Callithrix jacchus: one gene and its partners. Each later gene encodes a partner of the first gene's protein in a complex. Links are inferred from orthologs where the notes say so. Each region holds a gene or a part of one and is shown in the gene's direction. Other genes may lie near its edges.

Evidence for each region.
Region 2: CHD4 (region 1) and MTA2 share a complex: the UniProt entries of both Homo sapiens proteins name them as parts of the nucleosome remodeling and deacetylase (NuRD) repressor complex. The link is inferred for Callithrix jacchus from reciprocal best matches to the Homo sapiens genes CHD4 and MTA2.
Region 3: CHD4 (region 1) and MTA1 share a complex: the UniProt entries of both Homo sapiens proteins name them as parts of the nucleosome remodeling and deacetylase (NuRD) repressor complex. The link is inferred for Callithrix jacchus from reciprocal best matches to the Homo sapiens genes CHD4 and MTA1.
Region 4: CHD4 (region 1) and MTA3 share a complex: the UniProt entries of both Homo sapiens proteins name them as parts of the nucleosome remodeling and deacetylase (NuRD) repressor complex. The link is inferred for Callithrix jacchus from reciprocal best matches to the Homo sapiens genes CHD4 and MTA3.

Annotation. Positions count from the first base shown.
Region 1 is NC_133510.1:20,780,491-20,784,219, reverse strand, and holds part of CHD4 (chromodomain-helicase-DNA-binding protein 4), read left to right. Parts: intron 1-191; coding exon 192-392; intron 393-577; coding exon 578-715; intron 716-986; coding exon 987-1,108; intron 1,109-1,236; coding exon 1,237-1,410; intron 1,411-1,732; coding exon 1,733-1,874; intron 1,875-1,964; coding exon 1,965-2,096; intron 2,097-2,206; coding exon 2,207-2,324; intron 2,325-3,729. UniProt on the Homo sapiens protein: ATP-dependent chromatin-remodeling factor that binds and distorts nucleosomal DNA. Acts as a component of the histone deacetylase NuRD complex which participates in the remodeling of chromatin.
Region 2 is NC_133511.1:119,870,993-119,875,429, reverse strand, and holds the start of MTA2 (metastasis-associated protein MTA2), read left to right. Parts: upstream 1-1,584; 5' UTR 1,585-1,962; coding exon 1,963-1,990; intron 1,991-2,739; coding exon 2,740-2,807; intron 2,808-3,159; coding exon 3,160-3,253; intron 3,254-4,437. Other genes in the region: EML3 (echinoderm microtubule-associated protein-like 3), read left to right, coding at 140-238, 511-641, 739-942. UniProt on the Homo sapiens protein: May function as a transcriptional coregulator. Acts as a component of the histone deacetylase NuRD complex which participates in the remodeling of chromatin.
Region 3 is NC_133509.1:140,327,922-140,331,273, forward strand, and holds part of MTA1 (metastasis-associated protein MTA1), read left to right. Parts: intron 1-3; coding exon 4-193; intron 194-416; coding exon 417-506; intron 507-1,664; coding exon 1,665-1,817; intron 1,818-1,950; coding exon 1,951-1,986; intron 1,987-3,352. UniProt on the Homo sapiens protein: Transcriptional coregulator which can act as both a transcriptional corepressor and coactivator. Acts as a component of the histone deacetylase NuRD complex which participates in the remodeling of chromatin.
Region 4 is NC_133515.1:72,129,595-72,133,323, reverse strand, and holds part of MTA3 (metastasis-associated protein MTA3), read left to right. Parts: intron 1-1,733; coding exon of another isoform or gene 1,734-1,771; exon of another isoform or gene 1,772-1,855; intron 1,856-2,831; coding exon 2,832-2,983; intron 2,984-3,729. UniProt on the Homo sapiens protein: Acts as a component of the histone deacetylase NuRD complex which participates in the remodeling of chromatin.

The DNA of each region.
Region 1 (3,729 bases):
TTCTGGTGGGACCTTGGCTTTTTAGAAAGGAGTGGGCAGGGCATGTGCATAGAGGAAGGTGAGAGCAGGAGCAGCAGTGCAGGCTCCAGTCCTTGGCTTAGCTTGAGGGGGCAGCAGGGTGGTGGGTGTTCACTGGGATTGCAGTGTGCTGGGGCCCTCAGTCCTCACTCTCCTTCTCTTTTTCCTCCAAGGGTCATTCCAAAGGCCCCTTCCTAGTGAGTGCCCCTCTTTCTACCATCATCAACTGGGAGCGGGAGTTTGAAATGTGGGCTCCAGACATGTATGTCGTAACCTATGTGGGTGACAAGGACAGCCGTGCCATCATCCGAGAGAATGAGTTCTCTTTTGAAGACAATGCCATTCGTGGTGGCAAGAAGGCCTCCCGCATGAAGGTATCTCAAGGGAGGAAAGCCACTCTAGAGAAAGAGTTGTGGCTTCTGGCTCAGTTTACCTCTTTGTAATCTGGTCTCTGAGACAAAAGGGTAACCCTGGGAGGAGGAAAAAGTTCCATTGGTCCCCTGGTTGTGCTTACACCAGAGGAGCTGACTAGTAGTGACCAAGTTGCGTTCATGTGCAGAAAGAGGCATCTGTGAAATTCCATGTGCTGCTGACATCCTATGAATTAATCACCATTGACATGGCTATCTTGGGCTCTATTGATTGGGCCTGCCTCATCGTGGATGAAGCCCATCGGCTGAAGAACAATCAGTCTAAGGTGAGGGCTTAGGGAGGGACATTGGAGCACCCAGTTTGAGTTTTTTCTAGATCTAATTCATTAAGGGGAAAACTTGTAGGAGGAGAGGAGAGGGAAAAATTGTCTCTGCCTTCCTTCCTTATATGTGACAGCCCTTGGTGGCCAGGCCTGTAAAAAGAGTGTGAGGAGTGGGAGGCTTAACTATTGGGCAGTGAAACAACTTGAAATTTTGCAGAGATTTACCAGAGTCCTCTTTTCATTGGATTTCACCTCTCTCCATCTGCCTCACCAGTTCTTCCGGGTCTTGAATGGTTACTCACTCCAGCATAAGCTGTTGCTGACTGGGACTCCATTACAAAACAATCTGGAAGAGTTGTTTCATCTGCTCAACTTTCTCACCCCTGAGAGGTTCCAGTAAGTGTGTGCTTATCTGTAATCAGCTCATAATTATGCTTCTCATTCTTCCTGTTATCCATTTCCTGTATCACTTTCCTTTCTTCCTTTCTCCTTTTCCAGTAACTTTTTCCTTTTTCTTTCTGAAGCAATTTGGAAGGTTTTTTGGAGGAGTTTGCTGACATTGCCAAGGAAGACCAGATAAAAAAACTGCATGACATGCTGGGGCCGCACATGTTACGGCGGCTCAAAGCTGATGTGTTCAAGAATATGCCATCCAAGACGGAACTAATTGTGCGTGTGGAGCTAAGCCCTATGCAGAAGTGAGTTGGGAGGGACAGAAGCAGACTCCATTTAGACATCTGCCAGTCTGCAGTGTTTCCTATTCCTCCCCTACTCATCTTCAAGGCATCTGGTGACAGGAGCAAGCAAGGCCTGAAGAAACCTGATGCTAGGGCGCTGGAGCACATAATTCTTACTTATTTTAAGTTATACCTTCCTTATTTAAAATGGTGGTGGTGGTGCTTGTGTGTTAGGTGTCCTTAGTCCCAAAGTGGGATGTGTTCGAAGAAAGATCTCAGTTACTGGGACTCCATTATTGAAAGGCTCTCGAGTCTAACCCGCGTTTCTACCTTGCCCACGTAGGAAATACTACAAGTACATCCTCACTCGGAATTTTGAAGCACTCAATGCCCGAGGTGGTGGCAACCAGGTGTCTCTGCTAAATGTGGTGATGGATCTTAAGAAGTGCTGCAACCATCCGTACCTCTTCCCTGTGGCTGCGATGGTAGGTGTGCCACCTCTTCTTCCTCCCTGGGTTGGGACTCTTCATGTGGGCTTTCTTTTGATATTTTTTCTTCTTTGCTTTTGTCCTCAGGAAGCCCCAAAGATGCCTAATGGCATGTATGATGGTAGTGCCCTAATCAGAGCATCTGGGAAATTATTGCTGCTGCAGAAAATGCTCAAGAACCTTAAGGAGGGTGGACATCGTGTACTCATCTTTTCCCAGGTACCATGTGGGCTGGGAGATTTAGGGAACAGTCATAGACAACCCTCAGTGATATAAGGAAAGGAATTAACATCTGACTTTTCCATAGTTAAACCGTGCTCCTTTTACAGATGACCAAGATGCTAGACCTGCTAGAGGATTTCTTGGAACACGAAGGTTATAAATATGAACGCATTGATGGTGGAATCACTGGGAACATGCGGCAGGAGGCCATTGACCGCTTCAATGGTGAGAGAGAAGGAGTTGTTTCGTTTCAGTCATCCTTATTTGCTTACATTTTGGTATTGTAACTTCTTGTGCATCTCCTTTTCAGTGTAGTTCTTTTGGGGCTTTGTCAGTTGAGATGGAAGAGTAAAGCTTTTGAATGTCTCAATTGGAAGAATGTGTTACACTATTCCTAGGAGAATTTTTTTCCTTTGGGGTCTTTGTTCTTTCTGTTAGAAAGGAGAAAGCATTGCATTTTGAGGGCGAGCAAGGGGTCAGGACTTGCTCAAGCTCAAATAGCAAGTTATTGGCAGACTTGGCTGCCTTGGTAGACACTACTAGGTTTGTTTGTTTTGTTTTATTTATTCAAGATAGGGTCTCACTCTTGTTGCTGAAGCTGGAGAGCAGTGGCATGATCATGGCTCATTACAGTCTGGACATCACCCTAGGCTCAAGTGATCCTGCTGCTTCAGTCTTTCGACTAGCTGGGGCTATAGGCATCAGCCATTGCTCATAGCTAATTTAAAAAATATGTTTGTAGAGGTGGGGTCTTGCCATGTTGCCCAGGCTGATCACAAACTTCTGGTCTTTAGCAATCCTCTTGCCTTGGCTTCCCAAAGTATTGAGATTATAGGCATAAGCCACTGTGCCCAGTATTGCTGCTACTACTTGTTTTAAAACTTTTCATTTTAATTTTAGACTTAGAAAAAAGTTACAAAATGACACAGAGTTCATGTGTACTGTTCAACTAGCTTCTCTTAATAATAGCTTATATAACTGCAGTACAATGATCAAAACTAGGAAATTAACATTGGTATTGTACTATAAATGACCTTAAATGAGGGTCACGCATTTTTCCTGCTGTCCATTTTCTGTTTCAGGATCCAATCCCAGATCCCATGTTCCATTTAGTTACCATGTTTCCTGCTATCTGTGACATTTCTTCACTTTTTTCACCCTTTTCTTGTATGATACAGGTGATTTTTCTTTTTTTTAAGATGGAGTCTTGCTCTGTTGCTCAGACTTGAGTGCAGTGGCATGATCTTGGCTCATTGCAACCTGTGCCCCCTGGGTTCAGGCGATTCTTCTGTCTTAGCCTCCTGAATAGCTGGGATTACAGGCATGTGCCACCACACCTGGCTATTTTTGTATTTTTAGTAGAGATGGGGTTTCTCCATGTTGGCCAGGCTGGTCTTACCTCAGGTGATCTGCCTGCCTTGGCCTCCCAAAGTGCTGGGATTACAGGCATGAGCCACTGTGCCTGGTTGATAGAGATACTTTTGATGAGCATTGGTCAGTTATTTTGTAGAATGTCTCTAAGTTTGGATTTGTGTGATGTTTTCTCTTGATTTTATTAGAGATTTTGGGTAAGAATGCACAGAGGTGATGATTTTTTTTTTTTTAGGTGGAGTCTCACTCTGTTGCCAGG
Region 2 (4,437 bases), on another chromosome or scaffold:
GCACAGTGAGAGGGGGAGATGCTACTACGGTGACCAGATCACCTGCCATGGCCAGGTCTCATTCCAGTCTTTCCAATCTGGCTTTCCCTGGCATCTTCCTGACTGAGGGCGGGGTGAGAGCTGAGCTCCTTCTCCCCAGGGGATGTGGCTGGAGGCTGCAAGCAGCTGAAGAATCGCTATGAGAGCCGAGACCGGGAGTGGGCTACGTACACCTGTGTGCTGGGCTTTCACGTCTACGGTGAGCAGGGGCGTGGAACCCTGCTGGAGGGGCGGGGGACAAGGTGGAGCCCAGTTTGGGCTCGAAACGCTGGGCGTGTGTCGTTGGGTGGGAGTCCAGAAACCTGAAGATCCAGCCCAGGAGGCCCCCCCCCCCCGGCCCTCGGGACCGGGAAGGCTTGCCTGGAACGCGGCAGTGGGTGGCCGTGGCTGCCGGAGCGCCTGAAATAGTGCAGCTCTGGGCCGTGGGTGGCAGTGGGGAGGAGGTCGGGCTGAGGCCGGCCGCTGTGCTAGGCGTGTGGCCGGACGGCTCCGATGGGACCGACATCAACTCCCTGTGCCGCTCCCACAATGAGCGCGTGGTGGCGGTGGCTGACGACTTCTGCAAAGTGCATCTTTTCCAGTACCCGTGTGCTCGTGCCAAGGTGAGGCCGCAGGGGCCTCCGGGGCGGGGTGGGGCGGGACAGGACGGGTGGGCCCGAGGGCTCCGCCGCCACCGCAACTCCCTTCCCTCCTGTCCAGGCGCCGAGCCGCATGTACGGTGGCCACGGCAGCCACGTGACCAGCGTCCGGTTCACGTACGACGACTCGCACCTCGTCTCGCTGGGCGGCAAGGATGCCAGCATCTTCCAGTGGCGAATGCTGGGAGCAGGGGGCGCGGGGCCAGCGCCCGCCACGCCCTCTCGAACCCCCTCCCTGTCCCCCGCCTCCTCCCTTGACGTTTGATCTCGGCCTGGCGGACCAACTGGCTGAAGGCGTGGACCCGCCCCGCCCCGCCCTAGTTCCTTTAGACCCGGGGCTGACTCCTCGACTGACTTCCAGACATTCCCGATCGCGCATTTCCCTGGAGGGCGCGAACGGCGCCCCTGCACACACTGTTTAGACCCGCTGGCTGAGCTGGGCAGCCCCAGCCTAGGCCTTGACTCCCGCTGCCTGCTGAGGGGCAATAAACGAGAACCAAAGTCGCCTCCCGGTGCTTTTGTGGGGCGCTGCTGGGGGCCTCCGGGGCCTTGTGGGGTGGGGACGAAGGAAAAGAGGCGTGCGGAAAGGGTAAGGGAGCGTAGACCATTTATGCAAATAACAGGCAAAGCCGCTTGCAAATAACCTGGTTAAGCGCGAAGGCGCGCGAGTCTTTCGGGGCGGCAGGAGAAGCTGCAGGGACCCAGCGAGTACACAGTTAAGTCCGACTTCTCTCCCGCCCTCGGAAAAATGGGGTGGGTCCGAGCTGCGACGGAAATAGCCGAGTGCCGGGCCGCTGTTGGCCGACAGGAGCCGAACCTCTTCCGGAAGTAGCCGATCTGCGGGGTCTCGCTCTACGACCTAAGCCGAACGGTGGGCCTTGTTCTCCGGATCGGCCGAAGGTGTTCCGGAAGGAGGCGAACCCCGAGGCGGGCCGGGCAAGCCTTCCCTGCGGCCGGCAGATCCCAACGACTAGTGGGACTCGGCGGGGGCGGGGGTAGCTGGAGCTTAGCTCTGGCCTGGCAGGAGCCGAGCTCGTTCCGGAAGAAGCCGAGCGGACCGGGGCCGGCCTCAGCGTCCCGGGAGTGGGGCGATATCTGCCGCGGCGACAGCGCGGGCCGGGATGAACCGCGACGGCTGAGGCAGTGGAGGTGCCGGCTGCGCGGGCCCCACTGAGACTCCCTTGAAGCTACAGCCCCACGCTCGGGGCTTTGCCTCGAGCCGAGCCCTGCCTCCGCGAGCCTTCCGGACCCCTTTGTGCGGCCGGAGGCGGCGGCGGGAACGGCCATGGCGGCCAACATGTACCGGGTGGGGGGTGAGTACCGGGCGCAGGGGTGCGGGGCCCGGGGCGGGAGATGTTGGGGTCGGGACCGGAGGGACTCCGCACCTGGTGGCGCGGGGCGCCGCGTCTGGGGCAGCGTGGACCCGAGCGCGGACCGGAACCGGAACCGGGAGACTGGGAGCGGGGAAGTGAGGGTGCGGGAACGGCGACCGCGACGCGGCAGGGTGCCGAGACTCCCGGAGAGAAGCTGCGGGCAGCCCCGACGGCACTCTCAGGGCTGCGTCGGGGGCTCCCCCGGGTACAGAGTGGGCTTTGGAAACTGGTTCAGAAGGAGCTGACCTGGTAGGGAGGCGACGCGAGGGGCTGGGGCGACGGCTTTGCCACCGCGGGGGAGCCGCCCGGAGATTTCCTCTTCCCAGGCGTTATTGTGCGCCTCGGTTCGAAAAGGTGGGGGCCCAGCGCCAGCGTGAACAATGACTTCGCCGCGACTGGGCTGCAACTCATAGCTGAGTTGTGGGGACGCAGGGGAACCCCTGCTTCTTGCCTGTTCCTTAAGGCTCACTTTTCTGTGAAGGATCCGATTTTAGAACTAGGCGTGGTGGGGATGGGGAACATCCTTATTTTCTCTTAGTCTTTCCACTTTCACATCTCAGCGCCCTCTCTACCTGGATCTTTATCTTCTTTTGGTCCACTCAGGCCAACTTTCTCTCCTACTCTCGTGCTCTGTGTCTCCCGTCTCGTCCTCTGATCTTCGTGGTTCTTCCCCCTCCCCTCCCTTACAGATTACGTCTATTTTGAGAACTCCTCTAGCAATCCTTACCTGGTTAGACGGATTGAGGAGCTCAACAAGGTGAGTGGAGCAGAATCCCTCTCCCTCCCTCCCCCAGTGGTCTCTTTCTTCTGAGGTTTCTAACTTCTGGTGGAAGAGAGGACTCTATACTAAGTATCTATTCATATTCATTCATTCATTCATTGGATGTATTCAGGAAAGGCTATTGAGAGCTTAGCAGGAACTTACTATTCTGTCTCTTGGGGGCAAAGGAAAGGGATTTGGAAGTCTGTCCTTGAATGTAAGTCTTTACTCCTATTTTCTTGGGATTTTTTATTTAGGTTCCTCTGAAACTTACTGTTATTTGTCTCTGTGCATTTCTGTACCCAGATGATCAATTTTTCACTGCTACATTTTTTTTTTCTCTCCTTAGACTGCAAATGGAAATGTGGAGGCAAAGGTTGTCTGTCTTTTCCGGCGCAGGGACATTTCTAGTAGTCTCAACAGCCTGGCTGATAGTAATGCCAGTGAGTACCTTCATCTCTTTCTTTTCCCCCTCCCCATGATCTGAGGCCTGGGCATGTCCCTGCAGGAGTTTCTCCTGGTAGCATGCCCAAGGCAGAGGTGTGAATTTAGGGGTGGGAAATACCTGGTCTGAGGAGGGAGGCCTGTTTTTACACGTTGGGGTTGGAAGCAGGGTGGAGAGATTGTGATAAGGAAAGCTATAATATGGTTTGTGTATGAGTGTAAGAGAGAGATGATAATGTTTATTTAGGGGATGAGGATGAACTTCAGAGAAGCAGAATGCTTTTCTAAAGGGGGACAGTTTGGTGTACATTAGAACAGTAGGTGGTGACTGAAGGTCAAGGTGAAGAGGAAGAGATTGTTCTGAGAGGCCCGCATAACAGGGAAGTAGGCTCATTTTGTAATCACAAGGTGGTGGGAATACCTGGAAGCTGGAAGATGGTAGGAAAGTTTTCTTGTACTTTTCATTTCTTACCTCACCCATTTCCCGGCCCCCACTCCATTTTACATCTTTCCCTTTTCATTTTGCCCTGTCTTCATTCTCTTTAAGTTCTCATCTTTTTTTTTAAAAAAAAAAAACAACACAAAGAAACATGTTTTCCTCAGCTTCTTTTTCCTTTCCTGCTTTGATTTTCTTTCTCCTTCCTTTTGTTCCACCTTTCTAAATTTTCCTTTTTCAGACTGTTCTGGGTGAGAAGGGGTTAAGAAGGATCCCGGCTTACCAAGTTCCTTGGCCCTTTAGGGTTTCCAGCCCCATCTGGCAGGGGCTGACCTTGGCCTTGTCCAATCAGAATGAGTGTTGGGGGTGTGGTCCCCCTTGCCTTAGCACAGGGTTTCCGGAGCACATAGGCCAGGGGTGGAGCCTACCGCACAACCCCCCTTCTCCCTGAGGTTGGGAACAATGCACCAATGAGCCTGGGCCTGAGGCTCTTCTGTCCCCTCCCACGTTGGTTGGCGCCTAGCCAGGTTAACCCCTTCCACAAGGTTTCAGGGCAAGCTGCAGCTCCTTGGGGAGGAAGGTGTTGCCACTAGCTTGAGAGGTCTTGTCCTTGAAAACCCCAGGAACTATTATTAGAAAATGAGGGATAGTTAGGGCCACATGTGATGTTTTAGAGCAGAATCTCCTGAAATTGAAAATAACTGTAAATAGTCTTGTGTGATACTTTTTCATTTTACTGGGTTCCTG
Region 3 (3,352 bases), on another chromosome or scaffold:
CAGAGTCCCCACGGCCTCCCAGCCCGGAGCAGCGGGAGCCCCAAGTTTGCCATGAAGACCCGGCAGGCCTTCTATCTGCACACGACGAAGCTGACGCGGATTGCCCGGCGGCTGTGCCGTGAGATCCTGCGCCCATGGCATGCCGCGAGGCACCCCTACCTGCCCATCAACAGCGCGGCCATCAAGGCCGAGTGTGAGTCACCCTGACACCCGCTTACGCTGTTCCGACAGGTGGTGGGGAGGAGCAGCAACCTTGGGGCCCAGCCCACAGCCCCGAGGGGAGTCCTGGACGAGGGAGCCCCATTTCCTTCTGGTGCTGGCATGGCCGAGCCCCGTGAGGGCTCCCTGGTCAAGGCGCAGGCAGGGTCCCGTGCTCCCTGGGGCACCACACCCCTCACGCTGTGTGGTCCCTGCAGGCACAGCGCGGCTACCCGAAGCCTCCCAGAGCCCACTGGTGCTGAAGCAGGCGGCGCGCAAGCCGCTGGAAGCTGTGCTCCGGTATCTCGGTGAGCAGGCCGGGTGCGAGGAGGGCTCCCGGTGCTGCCTGCGGGCAGCTTCTGACCCAAGCTCACGCACGGGTGCTCCCAGCCTTCTCTAGGCGGCATCTCCTGGACAGCCCCCCAGGGCCTGGAACCGTCCTTTTGGGGTACTCTGCACTGTGCCAGCCTCAGGCAGACCCACTGGGACCCAGGCTGCTCTCTGCTCCTGGGGCCTGATGGGGTTCAGGCGGAGTGGCTGCCGCCCCATCTTCTGCAGGGCCAGCCTCCTCAGGGCACACCCAGGGGGCTTCCCTGCCAGCCTTCCTACCCTGGTTCCTGTGTCCTGATCGTCCCTGGGGCCTGAAGGTCTGGGTTTGGATGGGGTACACCCATGCCTGTAATGCCGGGAGTACACCCCGAGCAACGCCCACACCACAGGGGCAGCGCTTGAGCCTCTGCAGGGCCTGGGCAGGGGGAGGGGCACACCTGGCCTGCAGCCTCGGGCGGGGGTTCCCTTGCCTTTGAGGTTCTGAGGACACCCGAGAATCTTAGCCAGCTACCCTGGCCCAGCCAGAAGCAGCCTGAGGGGCCGGGCCAGACGTCAGTGGTGGTGGGGGGCGGCTCACCAGCGTGCTGGGCTGGAGTGGGCTTGTGCGGCCGCCCTCCCGACACAGGGGTGACTGTCCTGGGCAGGACATTCCAGAGCCCTGAGCTAAGTGTGCTCTGCACACTCAAGTGGCTTTGGCATTGCCCTGTTTAGGGTCATGGGCTCCTGTCCTGTGGGAAGAGGTGGCCGGTGTCAGGGCTGGCCCTCAGCAGCTGTGTCCCTGGCTAGGCTGGCCGGGTGGTCGGTTCGCAGTCTGAGCAGCAGCCAGCCTGCTTAACAGGCGTGCTGTGCTCACGGCCGGTGTCTGGACCCTGTTGGCTGGGGCAGAGGGGCCTGGGCGCTGCCAGGCAGTCTCGCTGCTCCCTGGAAGCCCTGGGTGCAGGATTGGCCTGGGCATGCCCCCTCGGAGGGCACTTAGAGCTCCTGGGCCCCTGGTTCTGTGACGACCCCTCCACATCCACCCCAGTCAGGATGGGGCCGAGTTCCTGGTGGTGTCCCGGAACCACGAGGGCTGGAGGCTGCCCACCCGCCCCCTGCTGGGCAGAGGTGACCTGCTCTGCCTGTGTCATTCCCGGCAGAGACCCACCCCCGTCCCCCCAAGCCTGACCCCGTGAAGAGCGTGTCCAGCGTGCTCAGCAGCCTGACACCTGCCAAGGCGACCCCCGTCATCAACAACGGCTCCCCCACCATCCTGGGCAAACGCAGCTACGAGCAGCACAACGGGGTGGATGGTGAGTGGCTCCCTCGCCCGGTGAGTCCGGGCCTGCCCTGCCCGGTGAGTGTGGCCCTCGTCACCCACCCGGGGCGACCGCGGTGCGTGCTGATGCTATCTTCTCTCCCTCTCTCCTGCCCCGGCGCTGCCAGGCAACATGAAGAAGCGCCTCTTGATGCCCAGTAGGGGTAAGGCCTGGGGCCACGGGCGGGCGCTGCGCCCGTGATGCCTGTACTGTGCTGCTGAGTGTGTCCCCTCGGCGGGCGGCCCGGGGCCCATGCTTGGGGCAGTCCATGGGAGCCAGGCCACGGCCCAGTCCCCCCACTCCTCCCAACGCCACTGGTCCTTTGTTGAGACCCCCCCCGCCCCCGAGCCCAGGCATCTGGCCCTCAGTCCCCTGGCCCCACGCCCTGTCAGTGGACTGTCCTGGCATGTGTGGCCCTGTCGCCCTGCTTGCGCTGTCTGCCATCGCGCTGTGACCGCCCGCATGCTGCCAGCCTCAGCTTGTGGGCCGCCCATGCTGTGCCTGCAATCCTTTCGTGCGCCTGCCTGTGGGGGAACAGTGGGGACAGTGAGGGTGTCTGGCAGGCTGTGGGCAACTGAGCTTGCACCCAGGCTTGGTGCCTTCTATCGGGTGATGGATTCGGTGCTCTGTGCCAGTTGGTTGGATTAGGGGCTGTGGGACCCCAGGCCCCTCAGGGAAGAGCAGATAGGACCAAGCCCAGCATGGGGAGGCCAGGTGTGTGGGACGCAGGTGCACCGAGGCCTGGGCCGGGTGTGCGGGTACTGGGCCTGCCAGTGTGGACATGCCTGCAACCCCTCCCCAGGCAGCTTTCACTCAGAGTGTTGGCCAGGGCAGCGGGGCCAGTTTGGGGACCTGGAGGCGGCTGTGGGCAGTGGCCATCTAGGACAGCCAGCCTGTCCCCCCGGAGCTGTCAGGTGCCCTGGCAGGCATGTCCTATGGGGTCAGCCCATGAGCTGAGGTGCTGGGTGGGCCTGAGGTCAGGTGTTGGGCTCCCTGGTCTCCACCTGTCTGGACACGCACATCTGGCCTGTCCCCGCTGCCTCCATCTACCAGCCTTCAGTGGTGTCTGTCCCGGCCCCAGCCATCTGGTATTGGGGCTGCCCCCGTGGGCTAGTCCTGGCCACACCGGCCCAGGCCAATACACTCTGGGCTGGCTTTCCTTGGCTGTTCCTGGGACGCCTGCTGTCGGGAACATTGGTAGAAGCAGGAGGGAGTCCTTGTCAGCAGGCATCTTTGAGTTTCGTTGTTTTATAAAAAGCGGATAACCAGCAAGTTAGATCAAAGCCGATGTGTTCCCATTGAACTTCCAGCCCCAGCCGTGCCATGCTCGTGACGGAGTGCCAGTGCACGCCGCCTGGCTGGGCGGGGCCCTGGGCTTAGAGGGCTCAGCCACAGAGGGAGTGCCTGTCCTGACATGTGGGGCCAGGACCCCGGCGCTGGAGAGGGGCCGGCTGGGTGGAGACAGCTCCCGGGGGCGTTGGCACAAAGCGGGTGGGGTCTCTGTCCAACCTGGGTAGGTGTGAGCCGAG
Region 4 (3,729 bases), on another chromosome or scaffold:
AGTGTCTCTTTCAAATGAGTAGATGCCCCTCCTTACCTTCTGCCTGGAACAGGACTTTTTATTGAACCTTAATTACGTACCACACACTTAAGTTAGACATTGGATTTTCTTTGATGTGCTCTTGTGGTTTTTGAGTATTTCATAGCAGTGTTTGCTGAATTGTGTTCAGAGTTGTATTAGCTTCGCAGAAACTGTGGTCCCACAATGCATACCAAATCCACCTTTGGAGTTTCTCAGTATACTTTGAAAAATTAAAGCTCCAACTGATTCTGTAGGAAAGGCCTCTGTGTGGATAAGCTGCTATGTATAACCCTTAGACCATGTTCCCTCGGGGCACCAGTTTGGAAAATGCTATTCTGTGATACTTGCCTTTGCCGCAGGATCCCACTGTATTTATCTATGCTGGCAGTATTTGCCCAGGCTGTTAAATGGGGTTGGTGAAGTGAATTGTTAGGTAGTTGATAGACTTCATGTGTTATTTTAAATCTCAAGCAAGGATACAGTCTCTTAATGGGGTATTGATGATATTATCATCTATGTTTCCTTCCAGTCAAGGTAGCCTGGGTTGGGAGAGGGAAGGAAACTAATGTTTATTGAAAACCTATGTGGTGCCCTGTTTTGGGTTCTTAGCAGCTCTTTGAGAGTACATGTAGCCTACTACCTCCAGGAAGGACTAGGAATGAGGGACAGCTGTGAGTATGATTACACTGATCCCAAGGAAGGTGTGTGCCAAATTGCTGAATTCATAGGAATGGTACATGGGGATGTCCATTTTTTGCAGCATGGGAGCACAAAGAGAAACCATTTATGGAAAATTAGATTTCTTTAGGTCAGGCCTTTACATGGATAGCATCATAAATACCTTGAATTGGAAATTCTTGGATTTTGAAGTTCATGTATATTTATAGGAAAATAAAAAGAATCCTGCAGACAAATGGTAGTGGCTTAATCTGTCTTAATTTAACTTGCAGGCTGGGTATGGTGGCCCAAGCCTGTAATCCCAGCACTTTGGGAGGCCCAAGGTGGGTGGATCACCTGAAGTCAGGAGTTCGAGACCAGCCTGGCCAACATGGTGAAACCCTGTCTCTACTAAAAATACAAAAAATTAGCTGGGCATGGTGACACGTGCCTGTATTCCCAGCTACTTGGGAGGCTGAGGCAGGAGAATTGCTTGAACCCAGGAGGCAGAGGCTGCAGAGAGCCGAGATCACACCATTGTACTCCAGCCTGGGTGACAAAGTGAAAATTCATCTCAAAAAAAAAAAAAAAAAAAAAAAAAAAAAAAAAAAAAAATTGGAAATTCCTTTCGCACTCACATATATCCCCTTAAATGATTATTCTGTTATTTTTATGTATGCATGATAAATAAGCTATTAAATGATACCTACTTTCCAATTGAGTTTAAGGAGAAAAGCATTTATTCACTAATTGTTAAGATGATGTGCATGATTAGCGTGCATAACAAAATGTATGTTTTAAGTGAAATTTTACATTTAGAATTCAAAATAGATTAATAGCTTAATGTTTAAGATTTAAAAAATTTATATTTAAAAAAAACAACTTGACTAATTCTATGAGTTCTAAATTATAGGAGGAAATGCTTTTAGGCTTTACACAAATAAAAGCCTAAAATAATAATTCTCCAAAAATAATACATGATGGGTATACAGTGCTGTTCCCAATAAACATGAATATAACAGTCTCTGTATTTTCTTTCACATTTGTTTATGAAGTGTTAGTGGACATCTTGCTGTGCTGTTTGAACACTTGAACAGTCTGATAAAGGTAACTTACAGGTCAGAGAAGTAATATTTTAAGGCAAACCTACAGAATTACAATTTTTTATGTACCTAATTAACTTACCCTTTCAACCTCAGTGTTTTCTCTTAAACTTCAGATCTATTGTGGGTGTACTTTAAATGTTACATGTCAGTAATTTAAACTATAAAACAAAAACAAACACAAGCTTGTAGCATTCAGCCAGCTGTTAAATCATCTGAGTTTTAGGCCTCAAGCATGCTGTGATGTCAGCTGCCCATGCTCACTTGATAAGGATTTAGAGTCTTGAAAGGGATTCTGTCTATAAAGGGAGATTTAAAATAAGGATTTTGCCTATGAAGTAAAGGAGTGCAAAACAGAGACCTGTTTCTTTCATCTTTTCTCTGCCTCTCCCTCTTTCTCCTGCTCCCTGACTCTCTCCTCCTCCCCTTCTCCTCTGTCACCCAGGCTGGAATGCAGTGGTGCAGTCACAGCTCACTGCCGCCTCAACCTCCCAGGCTCAAGCAATCCTACTGTCTCAGCCTCCCTAGTAGCTGGGCCTATAGCTACTACCACCACCACACCTGGCTGACAGATACCTGTTTTTATTAGAGTCCTGACTTTATCAATGGGACCTCCCTGAGTAGCTTAAATAATCCCTGGAGTGGTATCTGAACCCTAGGTTTGGAAACCTGGATTTGTTTTTTTTGTTTTTTTTAATACAACTAATATCTTTTTTTGAGAACCTATTTCCAGAAACATACACAGTAGAGCATTTTTAATCAACAAAACAAAAAATTCCTCAGCAGCACAATGCATAATATAGGTTGCCTCACCTAATAGCTTCTCTTATTAGGGCTATAACCACTTTATATATAATAGAAATAAGTTGGTTTAATAAATTCTGAGTATTAAAAAACACACAAATATACTACTACGTTTGAACTTGTAAGCTGGGAAAAATAACATTGTAAACTAAGGATGACAAGTATTTTTAAAATATTCGATTATTTTGTGTTGATGTTACAAATTAAACAGCATTTTAAAAAATTTTTGTTTTTCTTCTGCTTTAGCTACCCAGTCTCACCAGTGGTATTCTTGGGGCCCACCTAATATGCAGTGTAGATTATGTGCAATTTGTTGGCTTTATTGGAAAAAATATGGAGGCCTGAAAATGCCCACCCAGTCAGAAGAAGACAAGTTATCTCCCAGCCCAACTACAGAGGTACAGTAGTCTTTTGAGTGTTGAAAAATGCCATGTTTTTAAATGGCTTGAATATTCCTTGGAAACAGAAGTACAGTATAAGATAATTAGAAAATGAAGAAAGCTACCTTTATAGCCAGACACAGCACTACAATATTCAGAGTGGGTGTGGAGAGAAGCAGGGAGAAATTAAATTTTGTCAGGTATTCAGAATATTGGTCTCAGACAAAAGAACAATGAGTGTGTTAGCGTAAGTAGAGAGCTTACAAATTAAATGTTTAATTGCTTTTGAAAACAGTTTGTAACCTTTACATACTGTTGAAGACTAGTCTTTCTACATAAAGTCATAAATGCAAATTGAGCATTTTTCTTCCTGTGACTGTTTTGGAGGGACAAGAAGTATGGCTTTAATCTTGAGGTGAACAACAGTTTCAATGTGATTTTGGTAAAACCCTCATGGATTGAAGATGCCAAGCACCTGTGTTTACCAGTGGGCGACTACCCTTTTCCAGTGCTGATGGGCTCTCAGGACTTCTTAATTAAAATAAAAAATTAAAAAACTATAGTTTAACCCTCTTGGAAGTTTTTTACTATTTATTGTGAATGTGATATTGGATTCCTGTACAGCAGTACAGTATTCCCCACAGTTCCCTTCTCTGCTCCCCACCTCTTTCCCAAAAGTGCACACTTTAATTCTCTCTTTTAGAGGTAGTGCACCAAGTGACATTACAGATGCTTCAAACAAGATTTAAAAGTTGCGCTTTTCT